Linked DNA regions of Ovis aries. The main gene of each other region encodes a partner of the protein of the gene in region 2 in a complex. Links are inferred from orthologs where the notes say so. Each region holds a gene or a part of one and is shown on either strand. Other genes may lie near its edges. The genes, in order: MAPT, SFN and NFKBIA.

The links.
Region 1: the proteins of SFN (region 2) and MAPT are in contact, whole or in part, in a crystal structure (PDB 4FL5), measured with the Homo sapiens proteins. The link is inferred for Ovis aries from reciprocal best matches to the Homo sapiens genes SFN and MAPT. Residues at the interface, in NP_006133.1 of Homo sapiens: Asn42, Ser45, Val46, Lys49, Arg56, Arg60, Phe119, Lys122, Arg129, Tyr130, Glu133, Gly171, Leu174, Asn175, Val178, Tyr181, Glu182, Ile183, Ile219, Leu222, Asn226, Leu229, Trp230; in NP_058519.3 of Homo sapiens: Arg528, Thr529, Pro530, Ser531, Leu532, Pro533, Thr534, Pro535.
Region 3: the proteins of SFN (region 2) and NFKBIA are in contact, whole or in part, in a crystal structure (PDB 6Y1J), measured with the Homo sapiens proteins. The link is inferred for Ovis aries from reciprocal best matches to the Homo sapiens genes SFN and NFKBIA. Residues at the interface, in NP_006133.1 of Homo sapiens: Glu14, Cys38, Asn42, Val46, Lys49, Asn50, Gly53, Gly54, Arg56, Lys122, Arg129, Tyr130, Pro167, Gly171, Leu172, Leu174, Asn175, Val178, Leu218, Leu222, Asn226; in NP_065390.1 of Homo sapiens: Gly62, Ser63, Glu64, Pro65, Trp66, Lys67, Gln68.

Annotation. Positions count from the first base shown.
Region 1 is NC_056064.1:45,708,506-45,716,010, forward strand, and holds part of MAPT (microtubule-associated protein tau), read left to right. Parts: intron 1-1,068; coding exon 1,069-2,145; intron 2,146-4,970; coding exon 4,971-5,026; intron 5,027-7,505. UniProt on the Homo sapiens protein: Promotes microtubule assembly and stability, and might be involved in the establishment and maintenance of neuronal polarity.
Region 2 is NC_056055.1:240,065,887-240,073,160, reverse strand, and holds SFN (14-3-3 protein sigma), read left to right. Parts: upstream 1-4,011; 5' UTR 4,012-4,069; coding exon 4,070-4,816; 3' UTR 4,817-5,336; downstream 5,337-7,274. UniProt on the Homo sapiens protein: Adapter protein implicated in the regulation of a large spectrum of both general and specialized signaling pathways. Binds to a large number of partners, usually by recognition of a phosphoserine or phosphothreonine motif.
Region 3 is NC_056071.1:43,393,407-43,401,011, reverse strand, and holds NFKBIA (NF-kappa-B inhibitor alpha), read left to right. Parts: upstream 1-3,664; 5' UTR 3,665-3,752; coding exon 3,753-3,979; intron 3,980-4,600; coding exon 4,601-4,709; intron 4,710-5,037; coding exon 5,038-5,248; intron 5,249-5,638; coding exon 5,639-5,727; intron 5,728-5,850; coding exon 5,851-6,111; intron 6,112-6,476; coding exon 6,477-6,524; 3' UTR 6,525-6,617; downstream 6,618-7,605. UniProt on the Homo sapiens protein: Inhibits the activity of dimeric NF-kappa-B/REL complexes by trapping REL (RELA/p65 and NFKB1/p50) dimers in the cytoplasm by masking their nuclear localization signals.

The DNA.
Region 1 (7,505 bases), on a different chromosome or scaffold from region 2:
TGTCCTCAATACACAGATATTTTAAGAAGGGATTGATGTGAATGTGGGGCTTCCCTGGTGGCTCAGATGGTAAAGAATCTGCCTGCAATGCAGATTTGATCCCTGGGTCAGGAAGATCCCTTGGAGAAGGAAATGGCTACCCATTCCAGTATTCTTGTCTGGAGAATTCCATGGACAGAGGAGACTGGCGGGCTACAGTCCATGGGGTCACAAAAAGTCAGACACGATTGAGTGACTAACACTTCACATGAATGCGGCATGAATGAAGCAGAAAAAGGGGAAGTGTGCCTTCACCCACTGGGCTGGCACACGGGAGGTGGTGTGACAGGGGAGAAGCAGTGGTCCCGCAGGGCTGGCCACGTCTGTGCCGTGCAGACCACCTTAACTGCCACGGTGGTCGCCTCACCTCGTGCAGAAGGCTGTTCATAATCCACAATCTGGACAAACCTGAACCGTGTTTCTGTTCGTAGAGGTCTCTTGGCAGGTCAGTTAGTAAAGACTGAGCCCCAATTATGATGCATTTGGGGTTTTCCAAATCTATCAGGGTGGGTTTATTGGGCAAAAGGGGGGCCAGAGAGAGGAGAGGAAAGGAGACCCTCCCTGCACCCCATCCAGGTCCCAGCTAGAGGCCAGAGTCTTCAGGAGGCTCACAGTCCCTGGAGAGGAGGACAAGTTTCTGCTGCTGGTGGAGTTAGCCTAAGGCAGCCCTGGATATGGCAGGATGGTTGGAGCCCAGCCAGACCCAACATAGGCAGAGGACTACCACCAGCATTAGACGGGGTCTTGGTCTAAGCTCCCCCTTTACAGATAAGAAAACTGAGGCTCAAAGACAGGAGGTGCTCACCCACGGTGACCCAGCTAATTGTTGGCAGATTGACCAAGAGCCGTTTCATTCTGAGCAAAGAAAAGTAACACGGGTGAGCTCAGAGGGTGGGCTCCTTTTCCTTCGTTAGGTGGGCTTGAGATGCTGTTTAAACATCTTTTTTTTCTTTCAAATGTATGTCCCTCTCTTAAAACACTTAACTTGCTCTTGCTAACCTTTTACTGCTGCTGCCTCTTCAAGCCCAGAGGAGAGGAGAGTTCCGGGTCAGCAGAGGGAAGCATCTGAGAGGCCTCTGGCCCATGGGCTTAGCTCTCAGGTCCAGCTTGCACATGGCCAAGAAGCTTCTGGGGTCTCCGAACTGCCTCTTGGGGAGAAAGAGCCCGAAGCTCCCGTCCTGGAGACCTCTCGCCCTTCCCAGCATCACCCCATCTGCCAAGCGCCTCCTCCACCAGGAGGCCCTCAGGAACCCCACTGGGAGTGGGAACTAAAACCAGGGCAGCGGGCTGAGGAGGGCCTGGCCTTTCCGAAGCCCCCCTCCCCTGGACATCAGCAGACAGAGCCTGGGAGTTCCAAGGTTGTCCAGGAGAGCTTCCTAGGGGAGCTGGGCCACCATGGAGGTGAGGCTGTGGAGCCGGGGACCTCAGGGCTGACCCGCCAGCACGCATATGACATGCTTGGGGCCCCCATTCTGCTCGCGGGCTCCAGAGAGGCCACATGCCAGTCTTCAGGAACAGAACCTAAGGTTGCAGAGGGCAACCGCCATGGCTCCGAGCCGCCAGAGTGCCAGCTTTGGGGAGGCCTGCCCCAGGAGGGGCTGCCTCTGAAGGGGGCACAGAGCAAAGAGAGGCAGGGAGGTAAGGAGGTGGATGAAGACCGGGACATTGATGAGTCCTCGCCCCAGGACTCCCCGCCCTCCCAGATCTCCCCGCAGGCAGTTTCTGGAGAAGCTCCTGGAACCCCAGGGTCCCCAGCCGGGGGTGCCATCCCGCTTCCTGTCGATTTCCTCTCTAAAGCGTCTGCGGAGACCCGGGTCCCAGAGCCCGACGGGCCCTGCGAGGGGCCCCCAGGAGAAGGGCGCGACGGGGCCCCCGAGTTCACATTCCACGTGGAAATCACAGCCAACCTGCAGAAGGAGCAGAGACCCCCCTCGGAGGTCGATTTGGAAGGGACTGCACTTCCCGGGGCCCCTGGAGAGGAGCAAGAGCCCTGGAGCCCCTCTGAGGGCGAGGACGCAAAAAAGACTGATCTTCCAGAACCTTCTGGAAAGCAGCCTGCAGCTGGTCTGCCAGGGAAGCCCGTCAGCCGGGTGCCTCAACTCAAAGGTCTGTGTCTTGAGCTCCTTCGCTCCCGCCTGGCGACCTCGTGTGCCACCCAGGCTGCAGGCGCTGCCACTCAGCTTCCGGCTCCTCCTTGGCTCCTGCCGCTTCTGAGGCCCCCGCGGACAGCCACCAACCAGCCCCTGGGGCCTTTGCTCACCCTCCCGGCCACCTCCTGTCCCTCGGGCACTGGTAGCTCGTGCTCCTCTCACGCTTGCCCGCCGTAGTGCATGTCACCAAGACCCCCACCCACTGCTTTCTGCCCCATTCACTCCTCTGGCCCCTTGATTTCTCTGCAAGGCTCTTCAGCCCAGTGGAGGCTGGTGGGCTGCACTCCACAAAGAGCATAGCGGCTGCTCCCACTTCGGAGGGCTCGTTATGTGTCTCAAATTGGTTGTCTAGGACCCTCCTGACCCTCCCGACCCTCCCAACAAGTGGGCATAATTAGCCCGATGTGCAGAGGAGAAAACTGAGGCTGCGAGCGGTGAAGTATCTTGCTGAAAGTCATTGAGTAGTAGGTGATGGGGCCAGACCCAAGTAGGTCTGCTTTGAAAGGCACTTCCGTCTACCCCGCAAGCGCCTTCCAGGAGGTCCTGAGGTGTGCCCTCCTAGCCCAGAGACTCAGAGGACATACGTCTGTCCTCTGCAACTGTGTCCATGGATAGCACCTCACATGCAGCAGGCCACACACACACACACACACACACACACACACACACACCCTTTGGAGGTGACCCAGAGCCCATGCTGAGCCTTTGGCCCAACAAGCACTCCACCCTATTTTGTCTGCCTTGTGGCAGAAGAGACAGTGAGCAGAAACAAAATCTCCTCATGGAAGGAACCCCCTCTTCTTCCCTTGGCAGAGCTGGGGCAGTCCCACTGATGGGATCACAGGGAGGGATCTCAGCCCCATCCCCGTCTCGAGCCCTGGGAAGCGTGACCACAGCAGCCTTTCAGGAGCTGAAGAGATGGGAGGGGAGGTTCCCAAGGGTGAGGGTCTCTGTGTCCTGTCGGGGGGAGGACGGAGGAGGCCTCATGGCCACATATCAGCCGTATTCATATGTTTAGATCCTGTAGCATATTAGAATTATTCGCGGGGCCCAGAAATTGATGCTACTTAAACTGTTAATTGCAGACATCTGTTAAATGTTGTCACGAAAACTTTGAAATGTTATAGATGAAGGAACCTGTGTTTTTAAATTTAAGACCGAAAAAGAACCCTACTTTAAAATATCCTAAACTCCAAACTAATATGGGACACGTAACTGTGACTTGATAGATGACAACAGTGTTTCCTGAAAAGTTGTTTTACATTGAATGCTGATCCACTGCATGTTGATAGATGTGTCCAGGGGAAAAAAAAGAGTTCCATCGTCTAGTCTGGGTAGGGAGGGGAAGGTGAAACATTAAATGGAGTTTGCTGTGGGGAACTTGTCAGAGCCTTTAATATTGTAATGTACATTCTGACCCTCTGAGAAGGATACATAGTAGCCACTTCCCCAATCTGGGAAATGCAGATCTAGCAGATGCTTTTGCTGTGACATAGATGATGATGGCCATCGGGGCAAAGGATGTGAATCAGGTCCACCGGGGCTCTTACTAAAATGCAAGTTCCTGGGCCCCACCTTAGGCTACTGTCTCAGAGTGAACCCGGGATTCTGTATTTCAAGAATGTCTCCCACTGGTTCTGCTGCATAACAAAGTTTGAAAATCTCTGGGCTAGATCATCAGTGCTGGTCACTCTAGAAATCTGGTCTCCAGGAACCAGTGAGATGCTTCCACTGTCGTCGGGGCAGAGGAAATACGATATTGAAGCCACGGATGAGAACCTGTGATCAGTTTCCAATAATGCATGCCAATAGCAGGAAAGAGTGAGTTCGAAGTTACGCTGGAAGACAAGCGGATTGGTTTCACCAAGGGGTGTGGCTTTCCAAACACAAAATCTGTCAGTGGTTTGGTCCTAAAATCCAGAGATTATCTATGGCAGGGGTCTCCAACCTCTAGGCTACAGATCAATACCTCCTGCCAGATCAGTGGTAGCATTAGATTTAAAGTGTACAATAAATGTAATGTACTTGAATCATCCTGAAACCATCCCCTCCCCACCCCCAGTCCATGGAAAAATCATCTTCAATGAAATAAAGAGTCTGGGGACTGCCGATCTATAGGATATTTGATGGCAGCTAGTTTGTTGCAAATTTGGGGAAAGGGCAAGCATTAGTCCCCCTTGGGAGAGTATGTAAGTGGTGAGACGGCCCTTCAGGGGTGGGTTGGACTTGTCAGAGAGCCAACTAGGACTGGTCACCCAAGCCCCCATGAGTACAGGGCAGGTTCTGGGAAAGCGGCCCACTCCCCCTGGCCCTTGGGTGACAATATGAACAAGGGGTCCTGCAGGGGCCAGAGCCTGGCTGACCTGCCCTGTACATAGCTCTGGGGCTTCCAAATGCCCCTCCTTGGAGCAGGGTTGGCCGGTCAGGGGAGGCTGACCCCAGCAGAGCCTGTGAGAGGTGGTCCTGCACCGTCTACCTTCCCTGACCGCCCCTGTACCAACGTGTACCCATAACAGTTCCCTCTGTGTCGCCTATGCATGTCCCCGGCCAGCCTGCTGCCCCCTCTTGTCAGGGTGTTGCAAGCAACGACCCCAGTGTGCTGTGTTGATACTAACAATGAGACACCTAACAGATTCACGGGGAAAGAAATCAGCCGGGTTTCCACTGGCCCAACTGAACAAGACATATTGCACAGTTTCTGAGAAACCACTTTCCCTTCCTTGGGCTCTCATGCACTGTGCTAATGGGTGTAACATGCATTCTCATTTTGTATTTTATCAGCTCGCATGGTCAGTAAAGGCAAAGATGGGACTGGACCCGATGACAAAAAAGCCAAGGTAAGCTGAGAAAACCATGGCATCTCTGGCGCCATCAAGTTCATCAAGAAGCCATTCTTTGTATCTGAATTGATCTCTGTATATGACACGTGGGAATCGTTGGTTCCCGAGGTACACCTGTCATTCACAGTGCTTTGTGTTTCCATACAAACATTTAAAATGCCAGCATTTATCCTTGGATACTTCTGCCAGGGAAGGGCAGTGAGCAGGTTAATGAATGAATGAATGAATGCTCCTAATTAGAGTTGTACCAGCATTGTTTGAATTAAGACGTTCACGATAAATGAAAGTATGCTTGAATTTTCTGCAGTGAATTTTGAATTTTCTGCTTCCTGCTATAGGTCTAGGCGCAGCAAAGATATATCTGTATACACACAGAGAGTATATTTAAGATCTATCTAGAAAATACCATTTATTTAGGGGGCTGAGGGAGTGTTGAGCAAAAATGAGATATCCAACCTAAAGTGGAGGGTTCTGGAAAAACCCTAGAGGAGAGGACCTGTGAGGCAGGCCGAGAAGGAGAGATGAAGGGTGGGGTTGGTGAATAGGGGTGAGAAGAGACATTCTGAGGAGTAGTATCAGTGGAGGTAAAGGAGGGTGAGGGGAGAGGAAGAGAAAAATCACATTTGGGAGTTCTGAGCAAATCTGCCAAGCTCGGGGTAGGGCTGAGGCAGGCCAGAGGAGGGAAGCCTGATACACACCCTACATGCTGAATGGACACGTGGGCTGTGGTGCCCTAGAGGCTGTCCTGAAATCCTGCCAGCCAGTCTTAAGATCTTCCCCCACCAAGGACCAGAAGACCGAGCAGCCTGCTCACCACCCAAACTGCACCCAGGACCGCATGGTCCTCCTCGCACTCCCCGCCAGCCCTAGTGCACTCTGCTCCATGACGAGGTGGCTTGAAGAACGCTCTCCTAGCTGCACAGTGGTGGCTTTCCAGGAAAACCTCGCTGGGGCCCCAGATGAAGACTTGTTTTTCTTATAGGCATCCAAGAGGCTCCCTATCTATGCTGCCTGAAACGCCTGGGTGTTCATCAGTCCTGGAGGACTGATGGAGTTCCCAGATGCAGAATCAAGCCCTAGGGTTTGGTCTTGTGTGTTGAGGGTGGCTGCCCAAAGTGTTTGCCCTGGAGGAAGTCAGGGTTCGCCATCACAGGACCCCAGTGGGGCAGCTGAGGGTACTTACTGCAGGGACTTGGGGTGGGAGGGAGTTGCAATAACTGCTTGCCAATCGGGATGCCCATTCAGGGGAATCCTGTCCTCTGTTCATTCATCCATTCTTAAGCTGTCCCTGCCCTGGAGTTGCTCACAGCCTCGCAGCAAGTCAGATCTGTCACGAACCTAGGCCACTTGGCCAGGTAGGGAGCAGTGCCGGCGGAGGGGGACCTTGTGAAGCTGGGGAAGGAGGGCTTGGCTTGCTGGTACCCACCCTCTGCTTTTTTTTGCTAGCAGCCCCAGGGCCTCAGCCCGCATCTCTCCGCTCACACCCCTGCTCCGTCCCTCTTGCACTCCTTCCCAAGGCTGGCTGCAGAGAGAGCCTCAGCCACCTTAGTGGTGAATCTCAGTAACAAAGAAGTTTCTAGTCAGGACTCTCCTCTGTAGCTCTGACTCCCCCTTTGGAACACCTCTGGACTTGGCCTCTTGGTTTTATTCCTGAAGACGTGGCCCTTCCCGCTCCCAGACCAGCCTCCTCCACCAGGGCCATGCATCCCAGTCCAAGGTCCCCAGAGGTGGTCCAGACAAACCACAGGTGCCGTCCACCCTCCTTCACACTCTCATCTCTGTGAGGTCGTCCAGCTCACAGACACCCTCCCATTGGCCACCTGCACCGCCCAGGCTACTTCATTAGGTAGATCGTACTCAAGAGTAACCACTGGCCTGATTAAGATTTACCAGACTCTGGGAGATTGGGATAGACATATATACAGTATTCATACTATGTATAAAATAACTAATGAGAACCCTACTGTATAGCTTCCCTGGTGGCTCGGATGGTAAAGAATTTGGCTGCGATGCAGGAGATCCAGTTTTGATCCCTGGGTCAGGAAGATCCCCTAGAGAAGGAAATGGCAACCCACTCCAGTATTCTTGCCTGGAGAATTCCATGGACAGAGGAGCCCGGAAGTCTACAGTCCATGGGGTCGCAAAGGGTCGGACAGGACCGATCAATTAACAGTTTCACTGTGTGGCTCAGGGATCTCTACTCAGTGCTCTGTGGCGACCTAAATGGGAAGGAAATCCAAAAAAGAGGGGATATATGTAGACATACATCTGATTCACTGCACTCTACAGTAGAAACCAGCAACACTGCGAAGCAGCTACACTCCAAGAAAACTTAGTTTTAAAAATATTGGGGGGCGGAGAAATACCAGACAGTTTAGTTTTGAGACTTTAATCAGAAAGTGTGTGTGTGTGTGTGTGTGTGTGTGTGTGTGTTCTAAGTGGTATCAGACAGAATCTTCAAGACCTACCTAATCAG
Region 2 (7,274 bases):
CCTGCCTCATGTCTCTCCCAATCTCTGACTTTTCTGCACCACCCAAGGAATGAAGATGGCTGTGGTGGAAGGAGGGGATCTCAGAAGAGAAACCTTAATATCAAAGAATGTCATTCAGAGCTAGCAGGGGCTGAGTGATGATCTGTGTTGGCCTCCTTGAACTGATGGGGAAACTGAGGCCAAAAGACAGGAATGGACCTGCTCAAGGCCTTATAATGGAGCTGGGATGCAGTTCCACACCCAGACCTCATTCCATTCTCTTTCCAGTAATTCCACACTGTGTCCTAGAATGGCCAAGCAGACGTAGGGTACTCTAAACAGCAGTGCCTTGAGGAAACAAGACTCAGATAGCTGAGTCATTTAAAAGTGATCTAATATCTCTCCCAAAGACAGCCAACTAGTGGAGTGAGCTCTTAGCTGAATAACTGAACTCTTGTTCACAACTAACCATGGGAGAAGGTACCATAGTTTCCCCTCTCTCTTTCAAGTCACTAAGTTATGTCCGACTTGAGACCCAATGTACTGTAGCCTGTCAGGCTACTCTGTCCATGGGATTCTCCAGGCAAGAATACTGGAGTGGGGTGCCATTTTCTTCTCCAGGGGATCTTCCCGACCCAGGGATTGAGGAAGCCCTTAGTTTCTTCTAAAGCGTCTGCCTACAATGCAGGAGACCCAGGTTCAATCCCTGGGTCGGGAAGATCCCCTGGAGAAGAAAATGGCACCCCACTCCAGTATTCTTGCCTGGCAAATCCCATGGACGGAGGAGCCTGGTAGGCTGCAGTCCATGGGGTCTCAAAGAGTCACACACGACTGAGCAACTGCACTTTCACTTTCTTTCACTTTAGTTTCCTCTAGTTACCTGATTGATCATTCCAAAACTGAAAAAAATTTCCGAGGAAGTTCACTCTGAAGTCTAACCAGCGTCCCTCCTGCTGCAATCAGAGCCCTGTCCTTGTTCTCAATGGAGGTAGATAGCAACTGGTTGGTGCCTTCTCTATGCCACAACCCTTCAAAGCCTGTTATTACCAGTTAGGAAGGAGTGGTTGTCTGTGGGACAAGAGGCTTTGATCCTGCGGGTAGGAAGGATGCTCTATGGGAGAGTGGGGAGGTAGCAGGCAGGATGAGGAAAGCCCCTTTGCGCTGCAGACCCCACTCCTGCCCTGCTGACTCAGGCGGCTGACAGTAGAACCCCATGCCCTGTCAGGGCCTGCTGCCTCCTGCCTGCCTGGGCTCCTGGACTTGGGAAAGGGAGGCCTGGAGGCAAAGGGAGGTGCCTGAGACAGGAACTGAGTCAGGACTGACAGGCCAGAGCGGGCAGGAGGTGTTAGGTAGCCTGGCTCCCAAATTCACCCCTGAGCTTCAGCAGGGGAGGGGAAGGAGGGACAAGGCTCCCTTTCCCATGCCCAGTGCTGTGCTGAGGACCTGGAGCTTGTGGTGTAAGCCGCCACCAGGTCTCTGGTGAGAGTGGTAGGAAGAGAAGTAAGTCTTCCTGCCTTGAGACAGAAACAGCTGCAAAATCCCTGGGTCTACCAGGCCCTGCCCTCCAGGTTTCTAATGTTTTGGAATCTCCAGCTTTCCCCCAGGACCTGGGAAAGCCCAGGCTGGATGACTAGTACCAAGGAAGGTCCTCGAGGGCCCAAGGCCTGTGGAGGCCAGAGGAATGTGTGAGCTGGAGAGGGCGGAGGTAGTGCTGAGTGAGTGCCTCTGACCATTCATCCATCGTCTCTCTGGTTGGGCAGGGTCTAGCCTTTGGTTGAGACTTGGTTTGGGGCCGGCCCTTCCTTATCTCATAGAAATCAGCTCCATATTAGTGCTTCAAGTGTGTATATTTATTATAATAAGGCTCGGTTTTCTTTTCACATGATGTTAATAGTTACCATCCATTCTGCTAAGTGCTTTCCATCAACTCATTTAATTCTCACAACAAGCCCCATTTTTATTCAGGAAAACTGAGGCTCATAGAGGCCAAGTCACTTACCCAAAGCCACAGTAGCTTGTAAGAACTGAAACCAGGCAGTCTGATTCCAAGACTGTAGGCTGTTCTGTCATAGAAAAATAATACACATTCACCACTGATAACCTGAAGATACTAGGAAAGTCAAAGGAAAACAAAAAACCCACTTAGAATCCTACTACCTAAACATACACTGTAAATTGGTATTCCAGTATGTTTCTTTTTCATTGTTTTCTGTCAGTGATGTGATTTAGGCAGAGCCTTCAGGATGGCAAGCCTAAAATCCCTTCTGCTTGCTTCCTTGGGAAACATGGCATCAGCTCAGACATGTCCCTACTTTCCCTTCAAAGAGGCAGATCTCATCTCTGGGCCTCAGAGTTCTGGCCTAAGCCTCCCTCCAGGAGGAGAGGGTGGGTGTTCAGACACCAAGAGGAACTGAGGAGGGACAGGCTTGTGAAATAGTTCTGGTTCAAGCATTAAACTGGCTGGATCCCAGAGAGAGGAGCCCCACCCCGAGCCCCATCTGAGCTTTGGCTAGAGGTAGAGTAGACAAGCAGGAACCCACCCTCCTAGGTGCAATGCCAACACCTTTGGGTGAAAATTTCAACTGACATAGAGACAGGGTCTCAGTGAACAGGGACAAAAGATTGGCAACAGAGAAGTCTCCATCTCTGAAGCTTCTGCCAGGAATCAGAAGTGGGGCCGTGGTCAGAGGGAAGGGCAGGGAAACTTCTGAGAGGCAGGCTCATTCAGCTGGGGGGAAGAGGAAGGCAGCGCTCAGCTGGGACTGCTGCCCCATAAAACGAAACGACATGCATCACAGCCGCCTCCATCGCCTTGGTCCTGTCTTTTCTCCCCAGTTGCTAGCGTTTCCCCCCCTCCTGGTACCCAGCTGGGCAGGGTACCCAGGTGGCGGGCATCCCTGCCTCTGACAGAGGGCGGGGCTGAGTTAGGCAGGAAAGTGGAACAGCCAGTGAGCTGGGTCCCCACCCTCTGTGCGCCCCACTGACACATGATGGCAGACAGGGGGGGCAGGTGACCTGGTGTGGACAGCCAGAGGGCAAGTCCTCAGACAAGTGGCAACAGGCCACCAACTTGAAAGGGAAAATTGTGCTGTGATGGGGAAGGTATCCAAAAAACCTACTGGGTGACTAATTACAAAGGCTAGGCCAGAGCGTCAGAGGCCGCTCGTTAAACACCTCATTAAGTGGCACTCTGAAAGCTGCCACTTTTGCATTCTGGGAGCTCAGAGGGGACAGGATCCTGAGGAGGAGTGAGGGGTGGTGGGTAGAACCATTTCAGGTAGACTCTGGAAGAAGCCTGCATGTCACTTTTAAATAGTCTGGAGCTCACAAGTCAAAAGACTTGATGGGAGCAAAGCCAAATTTAGTAGCTGTGTGACTGTGAGCAACTCTCATCTTTCTCTGAGCCTTAAAGCGGTCCCGCCTCTACAGTGGGAGTAGTGTCACAGACTTGCCCATTTCACACAGACAGAGCAGGTTAGATTAAGTTAGATCATGGGTATGAAGGCGCTTGGGAAGCTAGCTACCGCCCTACCTAAACAAAGAGTTATCCCTCCTGAACCAATATGGGAAACACACCTGGCAGGACTGGGAACCGCATCCTCCTGCACCTGGCTTTATGGGCTCTGCCTAGGCCCATAGCGGCCAGGTAGCTGAAGCCATCCTCAACCCGTGTAAGAACACGGTGAAGGAGGATCTGATTTCAGCAACTGGGACAGCTACCTACGGTAGGCATGTAATAGAAGCCCTGAACCAGAGCGGGCAGCCTGGGGCCTGGAAAGGTGTCGGTGCAGGTGAGGCCAACGCCCAAATCTCTCCCGCTGACAGTCCGGATGACTCACCCCCGGCCCCCGCCTCCCTACCCGCCATCCAAGCCCTTTTACCTTTAAGGAAGAGCGGAAAGGGTGTGGGGGCGAAGAGGAGAGGGAGGCAGGTCCGGGGCCCTAGCCCCGCCCTCTGCCCCTCCCACCCTTCTCTGGGCCTGGCCTTCCAGCCAAAAGGCGGGCAGAGAGCAGGAGAGGCACAGAACCCGGCCTTGGTTCCGAGGCAGCCAGTTAGCCCGCCGCCCGCCTGTCTGCCTGTCCCCAGAGCCATGGAGAGAGCCAGTCTGATCCAGAAGGCCAAGTTAGCCGAGCAGGCCGAACGCTATGAAGACATGGCAGCTTTCATGAAGAGCGCTGTGGAAAAGGGCGAGGAGCTATCCTGCGAAGAGCGCAACCTGCTTTCAGTGGCCTACAAGAACGTGGTGGGTGGCCAGCGGGCGGCGTGGAGGGTCCTGTCCAGTATCGAGCAAAAGAGCAATGAAGAAAGCTCGGAAGAGAAGGGCCCGGAGGTGCAAGAGTACCGAGAGAAGGTGGAGACGGAGCTCCGGGGCGTGTGCGACACAGTGCTGGGCTTGCTGGACACCCACCTCATCAAGGAGGCCGGTGACGCCGAAAGTCGGGTCTTCTACCTGAAAATGAAGGGCGACTACTACCGCTACCTGGCCGAAGTGGCCACTGGCGACGACAAGAAGCGCATCATCGACTCAGCCCGGTCGGCCTACCAGGAGGCCATGGACATCAGCAAGAAGGAGATGCCGCCCACCAACCCCATCCGCCTGGGCCTGGCCCTGAACTTTTCCGTCTTCCACTATGAGATCGCCAACAGCCCCGAGGAGGCCATCTCTCTGGCCAAGACCACCTTCGACGAGGCCATGGCCGACCTGCACACCCTCAGCGAGGACTCCTACAAAGACAGCACCCTCATCATGCAGCTGTTGCGAGACAACCTGACGCTGTGGACGGCCGACAACGCTGGGGAAGAAGGGGGCGAGGCTCCCGAGGAGCCCCAGAGCTGAGCCGCACCCGCTGCACGCCCTGCCCTACCCTGCCCGCTCCAGTCCCCCACTCCCGGCAGAGAGGACTTGTATGGGGTGGGAGGTCCGACCCTTCTCCCCAAACGCTCTGGCCCAGCTCAGAAAGGCTCCATAGAGAGGAACAAGCAGAGCCGAGTCCCCCTGGAGCCAGAGGATTCCATACTTCCTGCAGCTGTCAGGGGCTCCTGGCCACTGGTCATCATCCAGCCCTGCTCTGTCTCCACCCCCGCCCCCCGTCCCAGACACCCCCCCCCCCACCCTGACCACTTCCTCCCCACTCCAACCCCCTCCCGCCCCTGCTACCTATGGATCTTAGGAATTGAGGAGTGTCCCATCCTTAGAGCTGAAAACCGAACTGTGTGGCAGAGGTTGGTGATGAAGGTGTGTGTGTGCGCCTGTGTGTGTGTGTGTGTGTTGTGCAGCAACCAGGACCCAGGATGAGAGGGAGAGCATGTCTGCTGGGTGTGACCATGTTTCCTCTCAATAAAGTTGCCCTGTGACACTCCGCCTGTCTTTTTCAGTTATTGCGGAAGGGCGGGACAGGGATTGGTGTGTGAGTTACAGAGACCCTGACCTCCTTGGGGCTGGCTCAGTGACTCGCAGGCAAGACTCTGGAGCCAGGAGAGAGGCTGGGGATCCAGCCCTCTCCATCAGGGTCTGGTCTAGTCCCCTCAAACTGGTCCTATCCCGGGAGGGTCGGGTGAGCAGCGCCAAGGCGGCTTGGAGACTCCTCTGCCAGGAACGTGGGGTGGGAGGCTGAAGCGCTCAGGTGTGAGGGGACAGTCTCCGGGGTGAGGTCGGAGGGGTACGCCGCAGTGAGCGGCACTGAGCACCTCAGACCTGAAAGCGGGGAACAGTCCCATCAGATCTGAGCGGAGGGAAGTATCACCAGGGGGCGGGTATGACGCCGCCATTAAAAGCTCAGGTCTGAGGAGAAGACCGCCTTCCAATGTTCGGAGATGGGGACAAAATAAAACAGGCCGTTGACGAAGAAGTGCAACTTGAGTGCGAAGAGCCGCCAAGAGCGGGTTCGGCCGCGGCGGGCCAAACCCACCGCCCCCGCATCTCTGCTCCCAGCAGCGACGCTCCTCCGCCTTCGGCCGCCTAGTGAAGCCCTACCTTCACAGCCTGAGGCCAGAGGCGGGCCCGAGGCTGATATCATCCAATCACGGGAAGGAGCTGCTCATGGTACCGCCCCCGGGGCCAGACTGACCAATAGGAGAAGGAGCGGCGGACCGAGCTGGGAGCGTCTCCCCATCGCCCGCCGGGCCCTGCAGGCGCCGGGACACGCAGCCGGGAGAAGAGGCCCCCGCCACCCGCCGAGTGCCAGGGGCGGAGCTTTCCTGGTTTCACTCGGACGAGTTGCCACCCGCCAGACCCGAGAGCTCTACATCCTGAGAGCAGCGGGACGGGGCGGGGTAGTGCGGTAAAAGCAGTCCCCGCCCTCTGAGTCATCCGCTCTACCGGCGGTGCCTGGGCCTGGCCTGGCTGGCAGTATGGGCAGGGAAAAGGCCACCAAGGTGTCTCCATCGCACTCTAGAGCCCAAGCAGCCCTGACCTGGTGGCCAGGAGGCTTGGATGTGACCCTCACTGGCTTTGCAACCCTGTGCTATGTGCTTAGTCGCTCAGTGGTGCCCGACTTTTTGCGACCCCATGGACTGCAGCCTGCCAGGCTCCTCTCTGGCCATGCCCTCCTCCAGAGGATTTTCCCAAACCCGGGAGGTAACCCAGGTCTCCCGCATTTGCAAGCGGATTCTTTACCGACTGAGCCACCAACTTTGGAAAAGTCATTAACCCCCACCCTGGGCCTCAGTTTCTACCTTCTGTATCATAGGGGGCTTGAACTAACGGCTTTTTAGTTTGACTCCAAGCCTGCTTTGTCCAGGGTTCTTAACCATGCTTACCTTTTGTCCTTATTTGTGAAGTGAGGATTAAAAAATAGTACCTTCCTCTTAAAAGTTGCTGTGAAGTTTGAGAAAAATAAATGTATGTAAAGTAGCCCATAATACATATTTATACATGTTACCTATTATTAATCCTTCCAGCATCGGTAGTCCAGGATTTATCTAGCATTTCTGTGCCAAAAGCAGAATAATCAGGCCCAGTCCTGAGGAACAGCTTTACTGCCAAATCCAACCCTCTTGATCACTGGGTCACCCGAGAATACTGGCCTGACACAAGTGGGCAGTCCTTCACCTGATAATACTGGGGGAACTGCATCTAGCCTCATCAGGTGGAGTCCAAGTTTGGTCACACTCATGGACTAAAAGGCTCTTATCAGAATTTCTAATTCTTCACGGGACGCTGGCAGGACCACTCAGATGCTCTCTGGGTCCCTTGTCTTCTCTTTTCAGAAGGGTATTAGGTGTTAAGGTTTCAAACCGGTCAAAGACTCTGGGAAAGAGCAGGTGACTTCCCCTCAGCTTTGGAAGTGACCTGG
Region 3 (7,605 bases), on a different chromosome or scaffold from region 2:
GCATGCCCCACCCAGGAAGAGCACATGAAGTGCCTGCAGCCCGTCCCCAGGCCTTAATGGTGTTCCTTTTCCCATGGGGGTGGCTCCTGCTGGCAGTGAAGCAAGCAAGCTTCACTGGGCATCCTGTCCATGATGCTTGCTTCTCCAGGGCTGCTCGTGAGCCACTTCAAGGCTAACTTATTCTTTTGCCTTTTATATTAAAAAAAAGAAGAAGAAGAAAGAAAAGAAAAGAAAGGAATTCCCTGACAGTCCAGTGATTAGGACTTCACTGCTGGGGCCCAGGTCCAATTGGAGAGGTGCTGCTGCCGCTGCTAAGTCGCATCAGTCGTGTCCGACTCTGTGCGACCCCATAGACGGCAGCCCACCAGGCTCCTCCGTCCCTGGGATTCTCTAGGCAAGAACACTGGAGTAGGTCGCCAGTGCCTTCTCCATTGGAGAGGTGGGGACAGAACTAAGATCCCACAAGCTGCCTGCCACAGCCAAAAAAAAGGCTTTAACATGACTTTAAGAGGTTTTAACATCTTTAAAATGGTCAAGATTAGCTAAGATGCTTCACAGTGAGGTAGGGACGACTCTTAAGTGTATAAAGTTCTTTCTAAACCAAGTCAGTTTTGCTGTCTTCTGCTCCATCTGTTGCTGTTTTCTGACTTCCCCAGTATGTTCTCTGTCACCCAAACTGTAATGTTTGCCGATTTAAACCCTTTAGAGCATATGACAGAGAGAAAACCTTTTGGATCACATTACCCACAACTGTCTCCCTGGTTGCAGGAAAACAAAAGGTACCTCCTTGGGAATCCCCACTAGAGGGACAGGTCATCAAAGCTCAGCACCTCCCAAAAGTTCCAAGTTCAGTTCAGTTGCTCAGTCATGTCCGACTCTTTGCAACCCCATGGACTGCAGCACTCCAGGCCTCCCTGTCCATCACCAACTCCCAGAGTTTACTCAAACTCTTGTCCATTGGGTCTGTGATGCCATCCAATCATCTCATCCTCTGCCATCCCCTTCTCCTGCCTTCAATCTTTCCCAGCATCATGGTCTTTTCAAAAGTTCCAAGGTGCCATGACAAATCACTGACTACCTAGGCCTGAATCTTACCACTAGGTGTCACACTAAACAATCAGAAATAAAGACCCCCCCAGTTGCCCAAGGCTACAGCAGCAGCAGCTGCAGAAAACCATCACAGGAGGTGCAAAGAAACATATTCCTGAAAGACTCTGGACTTATGCATAGTTTTTTTCAATGGTTATTTTCAAACCTGTAGCTGACAATTGTCTTCTAAGGTACCTTTGTAAGCGGGGCAGTCAGAGTTTGCTATTTCTGTACCTTTTAAATGTATTTTTTATATATGAAAATCCCCAGACGGGAGAACATCTACTCTCTATTTTACCTAACAATTGGAGTAGAAAATACTTTGCATATCTTTCAGATTATAGTGTATTCAGTCTCATTTTCACAAGGTGTTTTCAAAAGTGTTAATATCATGACTGGTTTTGGCTAAACAGGTTGGGATAGAAATTTGATAAACTGCCATGGAATGTCGAGGTAAATTTATCTGCATCTGTTTCTTTTTAGGAAAGTGGGAACAATAGTTCCTTACTTACAAGATTAGTTCTGAGAACTAACAATGTATAGCAGAAAGTGCTGGAGCCCTTCAAAAATTTATACCATGATATTTCTAAGAGCCGTGGTCACCCTTAAGCAAAGATACACGAGCATTCGTGATCAAGTAATGTAGTTTTTAATCTGGAGAAAAATCTAAACAGCATTAAACCCAATCTTATTATAAAAGCAGGTATCCCATAGCAAAGTCAGCTAATCTCTCCAACTAACATGCAGGTAACTAGAGGTAAAGCTGGGAACTGAGGTCTCCTAGAGCCTCCATTGCACCTCTCCTAATACTTATGTATTTGTGTATCACAGGCCTGCAGAGGACTCTATCCCTGAGAAGTTTTCATTTTAATATATGACCATTACTACCCCGACAGTTTTACTTTTTGATTTTACTTTTTTCTCCCCCTCATATTTTGTCTCTCACTCCCATTGACCCAGATTCCCTACATTCAGATACTGGGGGTAGGGGAATGGAAAGGGGAGATGAGCAACGGAGAAGGCTTGGTTAGTACATGGTCAGTTAAGCTGAAGATGATTGCAATAATCACCAGAAATCTCTGCAAAACTACAGAGGCTTCCTGGGACCTATTCTGAAGAACTCTGACCCAAGTTTCTTTATTTTGCTTGGACCAATTCTAGAAATAGATGAATGCATACCTCTCATTGACTAGGAGGTGGGGGGGGCGCAGAGAGCCTAGGTTCTATTTCTGCAGGTGAGAGGAGGGTGGTGAGCCTGGAGTGGCTACCCATATGGCAAGCATGGGTCCCATGCATGTCTCTCCCAGGCAGGAGAGCAAGGAGCCAGCAGAGGCAGGATGAAGGGCACCATGGGCTGCCTTGAGCCTCCTGCACTATGCCTGGCAGCTAATTTCTTAGCCATCCATAAGGCCTCATCTTGGATAAGGCACTACTCTACCCATTCTTCAGCCACCTTCCCCAAATGCTTCTGCAAAGTCACCCAGCAGAGGACCCAGAAGTATGCTCAGGGTCTGTTCCCTGCAGCAGCACAGTGCAGAGCAGGGAACCCGACCTCCATAATTATTTCCTTACTTCAAGGGATTTACAGCCTCTGCTACAAAGACTCATACCTTGCTTTCCTTGAAAAATACCATGGTTGTTTTCACCGTTTTCCTGCATACAGGGCAGAGTGCTTGCCTCTCCTCCAGTCAACAGGATTGATAATCCCAAGGAAATGATTTGACGGTTCCCCAGTGGCAACCCACTCCAGTGTTCTTGCCTGGAGAATCCCAGGGATGGGGCAGCCTGGTGTGCTGTTGTCTCGGGGTCACACTGAGTCGGACACAACTGAAGCGACTTAGCAGCAGCAGTAGCAGCAATCATTTAGGCTTTTAATGCCAAAAGCTTTAGAAACTTCTACCCGGGGGTCGGGCGGTGGGGGTGGGAGTGGAGAGTGGGCTGGGGCTGGCTATTCAGCCGGTGCCTACAATGCTAAGAGCCTGGTACTGGCAGGAAGGCAGAGGCAGCCACCTTCCACCGACCAGTGCGTCCTCCCCGCAGAGAGCTTTGGGGAAGTGAATCCCTACACCCGGCCAACATTTCCACTCGCGTTTTCAAAAGATTTAAAAAAAAACCGGAAAAGACCTGCAGGTCGGTAAACCCCAGTGAAGAACCAGCCTGCAGGCCTGCGTCTTTGGGATCTCAGCAGCTGACGACCCTAAATCAAATCGATCAAATCGGGAAAACCCAGGGAAAGAGAGCTTCTTGCAGAGGGCCAGGATTACTGCGTGCAGGTTGCAGGGAAGTACCCGGGGAGGGGGCCCGGTCAGGAGGACTTTCCAGCCACTCAGCGTTCATCAAAAAGTTCCCTGTACATGACCCCAGTGGCTCATCACAGGGAGTTTCTCTGATGAACTCGGGCGCGGGGTTTAGGCTTCTTTTTCCCCCTAGCAGAGGACGAGGCCAGTTCTCTTTTCTGGTCTGACTGGCTTGGAAATTCCCCGCGCCTGACCCCGCCCCGGAGAAATCCCCTGCCAGCGCTTATAGGGCGCCGCGGCGGCGCTGCCGAGCCCACAACAGTCCTAGCCCGTCGTCCCGCTCGCCCGCGACTCCGAGAGCAGCCAGAGCGCAGCGCAGCCCGCGGCCCGTGCACTGGGGAGCAGCGCCCGAGCCTTCACCGCGCCATGTTCCAGCCTGCCGAGCCCGGCCAAGATTGGGCCATGGAGGGCCCCCGGGACGCGCTCAAGAAGGAGAGGCTGCTGGACGACCGCCACGACAGCGGCCTGGACTCCATGAAGGACGAGGAGTATGAGCAGATGGTGAAGGAGCTGCGAGAGATCCGCCTCGAGCCGCAGGAGGCGCCGCGCGGCGCCGAGCCCTGGAAACAGCAGCTCACCGAGGACGGAGACTCGTAAGTGTCGCGGGCCCGGGTGGCAGGGCCGGGTGGAGGCGCTGGGCCTGCAGCCCCAGGCGCGGGGCCCGCGCAGCGGCCGCGCACCGGGGTTCGTGCACCGACCCCGAGGCTGTGCAAAGGTGCACGGCTGCCTGCGGGGCCGGGGGCCGGGGCGGGGGGGGCGGGTCGGGGGTCGGCGCTGGTTTCCGGGGCCGTGGTCCCGCGGCCCTGCGTTGCAGCCGCGCGCACCCCCCGCACGCACACCCCCGTGCGGGTCCCCTCGGCCGGAGGCGGGGCGGCGGCGGGGACGCGAAGTCCCCGCTTGCATAAGGGGGGGGCGGGAGTTTCTGCCCCGCTGGCGGGCGCCGCGCGGCCGGGAGGGGAAGTACAGGGCGTTCCGGCCGGGCGAGAGGGCGGGGCGGTCTGGCCGGCGCCCGCCGCCGAGCGCGGGGGGGGCGGGGGGCCGGAAAGTCCCTGGGCGCCTGCCAGGAACACTCAGCTCATAATAACCTCGCGGAAAACACCGCGGCCTCGGCCTCCAGAAACCCCGGCCTTGCGCAATCCCCCGCGGGCCGCGCCTCCCCGGGCCCCACGCAGTGCACTCACCAGCCCTGGGGGTTTTCCCTCTCTTCCCCTCAGGTTCCTGCACTTGGCCATCATCCATGAAGAGAAGGCCCTCACCATGGAAGTGGTCCGCCAAGTGAAGGGAGACCTGGCCTTCCTCAACTTCCAGAACAACCTGCAGCAGGTACTGCTCTCCCGCCGCGTACCTCTCTCTCCCGCTCTGACCCCGAGATAAAACCGGGTCTTGCACATGATTTCTAGATTAACAAAGGTTTGGGCATTATCTGCCCTGATTTTTTACACCTGTGTCAGCCAGTATTCTAGAACACAAAATTCCATTGATTTGGGAAGGCCTTTATGAAGCCCATCTGGGGCCTCTGGTATTTTGCTTTGCCCCTGGTATGCGCCTGGGAAAAGCAGCACCCACAACCAAGATATCTCTGGGGTTCAAGGGAACACAGATGGTGGGTTGGATCCATGGCTTATCCTTTCTGTCCCTCTTCTGTTTGTAGACGCCACTCCACTTGGCTGTGATCACTAACCAGCCAGAAATTGCTGAGGCACTTCTGGAAGCTGGCTGTGATCCTGAGCTCCGAGACTTTCGAGGAAATACCCCCCTACACCTTGCCTGTGAGCAGGGCTGCCTGGCCAGTGTGGGAGTCCTGACTCAGCCCCGGGGAACCCAGCAGCTCCACTCCATTCTGCAGGCCACCAACTACAATGGTATGTCTGGCTGTCCTGCCCATCAGAGGGCAGGTGAGGTGGACACGGGGGAGGCAGGCTGACTTAAGGAGGCCAAGCAAGGCCTAAGCTCTCAACATATGAAAGATGGAGAAAACATGTATAAAGGCCTAGTTGATGCCTTTCTAAAGTCCATTCAGAACCCAGATTCTGAGCTCTTCAAATTAAGAATGTATCCTTCAAAAGAATAGGGATATATGTATACCTATGGCTGATCCATGTTGATGTATGGCAGAAACCAATACAATATTGTAATTATCCTTCAATTGAAAATAATAAATGAAGAAAAAAAAAGAATAGGTGAAAGCTTCTGCTTGAGAAATGAGTGTTGAAACAAGTAGTTATAATACTGTCTTACTTTTGGTCTTCTAGGCCACACGTGTCTGCACTTGGCCTCTATTCATGGCTACCTGGGCATCGTGGAGCTGTTGGTGTCCTTGGGCGCTGATGTCAACGCTCAGGTCAGTGCCTCACACCTTCAAATGGGGTACATCAGGCCACCCTGGTCCTCAATACGAGGGCTTTTGCTGCAAGCAGAACTTCCAAACTCAGCCATAAGCATCTTGAATTCCTTATGGTTCCAGGAGCCCTGCAATGGCCGAACTGCCCTCCATCTGGCAGTGGACCTGCAGAATCCCGACCTGGTGTCACTCCTGTTGAAGTGTGGGGCTGATGTCAACAGAGTCACCTACCAGGGCTACTCCCCGTACCAGCTCACGTGGGGCCGCCCCAGCACCCGGATACAGCAGCAGCTGGGCCAGCTGACCCTAGAGAACCTTCAGACACTGCCAGAGAGCGAGGATGAGGAAAGCTATGACACCGAATCAGAGTTCACAGAAGATGAGGTGAGTCCCAATTAACTTGTTCATGGCTTTGCAAAAAGAAAGGAGAGAGGCCATTCTCCCTCCCCCTTCTAAGGCTCCTAGAGTTCCTCCTTATCCTGAGGGTCTCAATGTAATGAGCCTCTCAAGCTTGAGTATGTGTAAGCAGAATCCCAAGAGCATGTCTTTTTTTTTTTTTTTTTTTTGGCTCTTGTTGAAGGAGGATCCTTAAAGGAAAACTCCCTCAGCCCAGGAAATTCATTTACATTCAGTGTATAGAGAATGGGGTCCAGGAATACTTGAGTTATTTCCAGTAACAGCCCACCCCATCATCCTAGCACCCTCGGAAAAGCCCTGCGAGTTTAACATGCCTTTTTTTCTCTTTTTAGCTTCCCTACGATGACTGTGTGCTTGGAGGCCAGCGTCTGACGTTATGAGCTTCAGAAAGAAGCTAAAAGAACATGGACTTGTATATTTGTACAAAAAGAGAGTTTTATTTTTCTAAAAAAAAAAGAAAAGAAAAAAAAAAAGGGAGGGATGTACTTACAGCCACACTGCCTGGTCTGGAACATTTTACTCTGGATTAACCCTCAGTTTGTCATTTTCGTAAACTCTGGAAGAGGGGGCAAGAAAAATCACTGGAATTCAGAGAAAACCTCTTTTAAATGTCACCTTTGGTGGGGTTTCAGGGGGAAGGTTATTCAAAATTTGATGAAAGGACTCTTATTTATTATGCTTATTGGTTGAATCACCATGGGTTCTGTGGCTGCGCCAGTTGAGTGACATGTAACCATCAGGTGTGTTGTTAAACCGGTCGGGGGGGTGGAGTTAAAAGTCACTACCTGTCAAGGTGTGTGTTCCCCTCCTGTAAATAGTGCACATAGTGTATTTTGTCGGTAATTATTTTGGTACTTTTAAGATGTATATTTATTAAACAGATTTTTATGAACAGAGTTATCCTGATCATTTTCATTGGGCTGCTGTGGGTCTCCTACACTGAGAGTCATTCAGTCCCCAGGCGGAGGCGGAGGTGGAGAGCATGTGGGAGAACTCACCACAGCCACGGAACCCTCTCACAGAGCAGCTTCTCACACTGTTGACACCAGCCTCCCAGCTGGGCTTCGCAGGCAGCCCCGGCCCAGTGCGTGGGAGGGAGGCTGTTGTAAGGTGATAGGAAACAGTCTCAGGCTTGGGCCGGGCAGGCTGTTTGGCCCACAGCTGGAAGGCTCTTCATTGCCGCCTGCTTTTATCTTCTTGGTTTAAGCTATTCCGAGACCTTACTTCAGCTTTAGGAAATTATTTTAGCCAAGAGTAGTATGTGGAGTTTACATTTTCTAGAGCTGCGAAAGGTCTCCTGTATGAGAAGTTTCTGAGGATGGGGGCTTAGGAATAGGACAGTGCTAACGTATGTTAGCAGGTGCCCACCTCTGTTTCCTTGCTTACAAACTGGACCATCTGAAGATTGCACAAGGCTATCCGCGCAAAAATCATAACAGTGCCAGGCACCTTGTGCTGAAG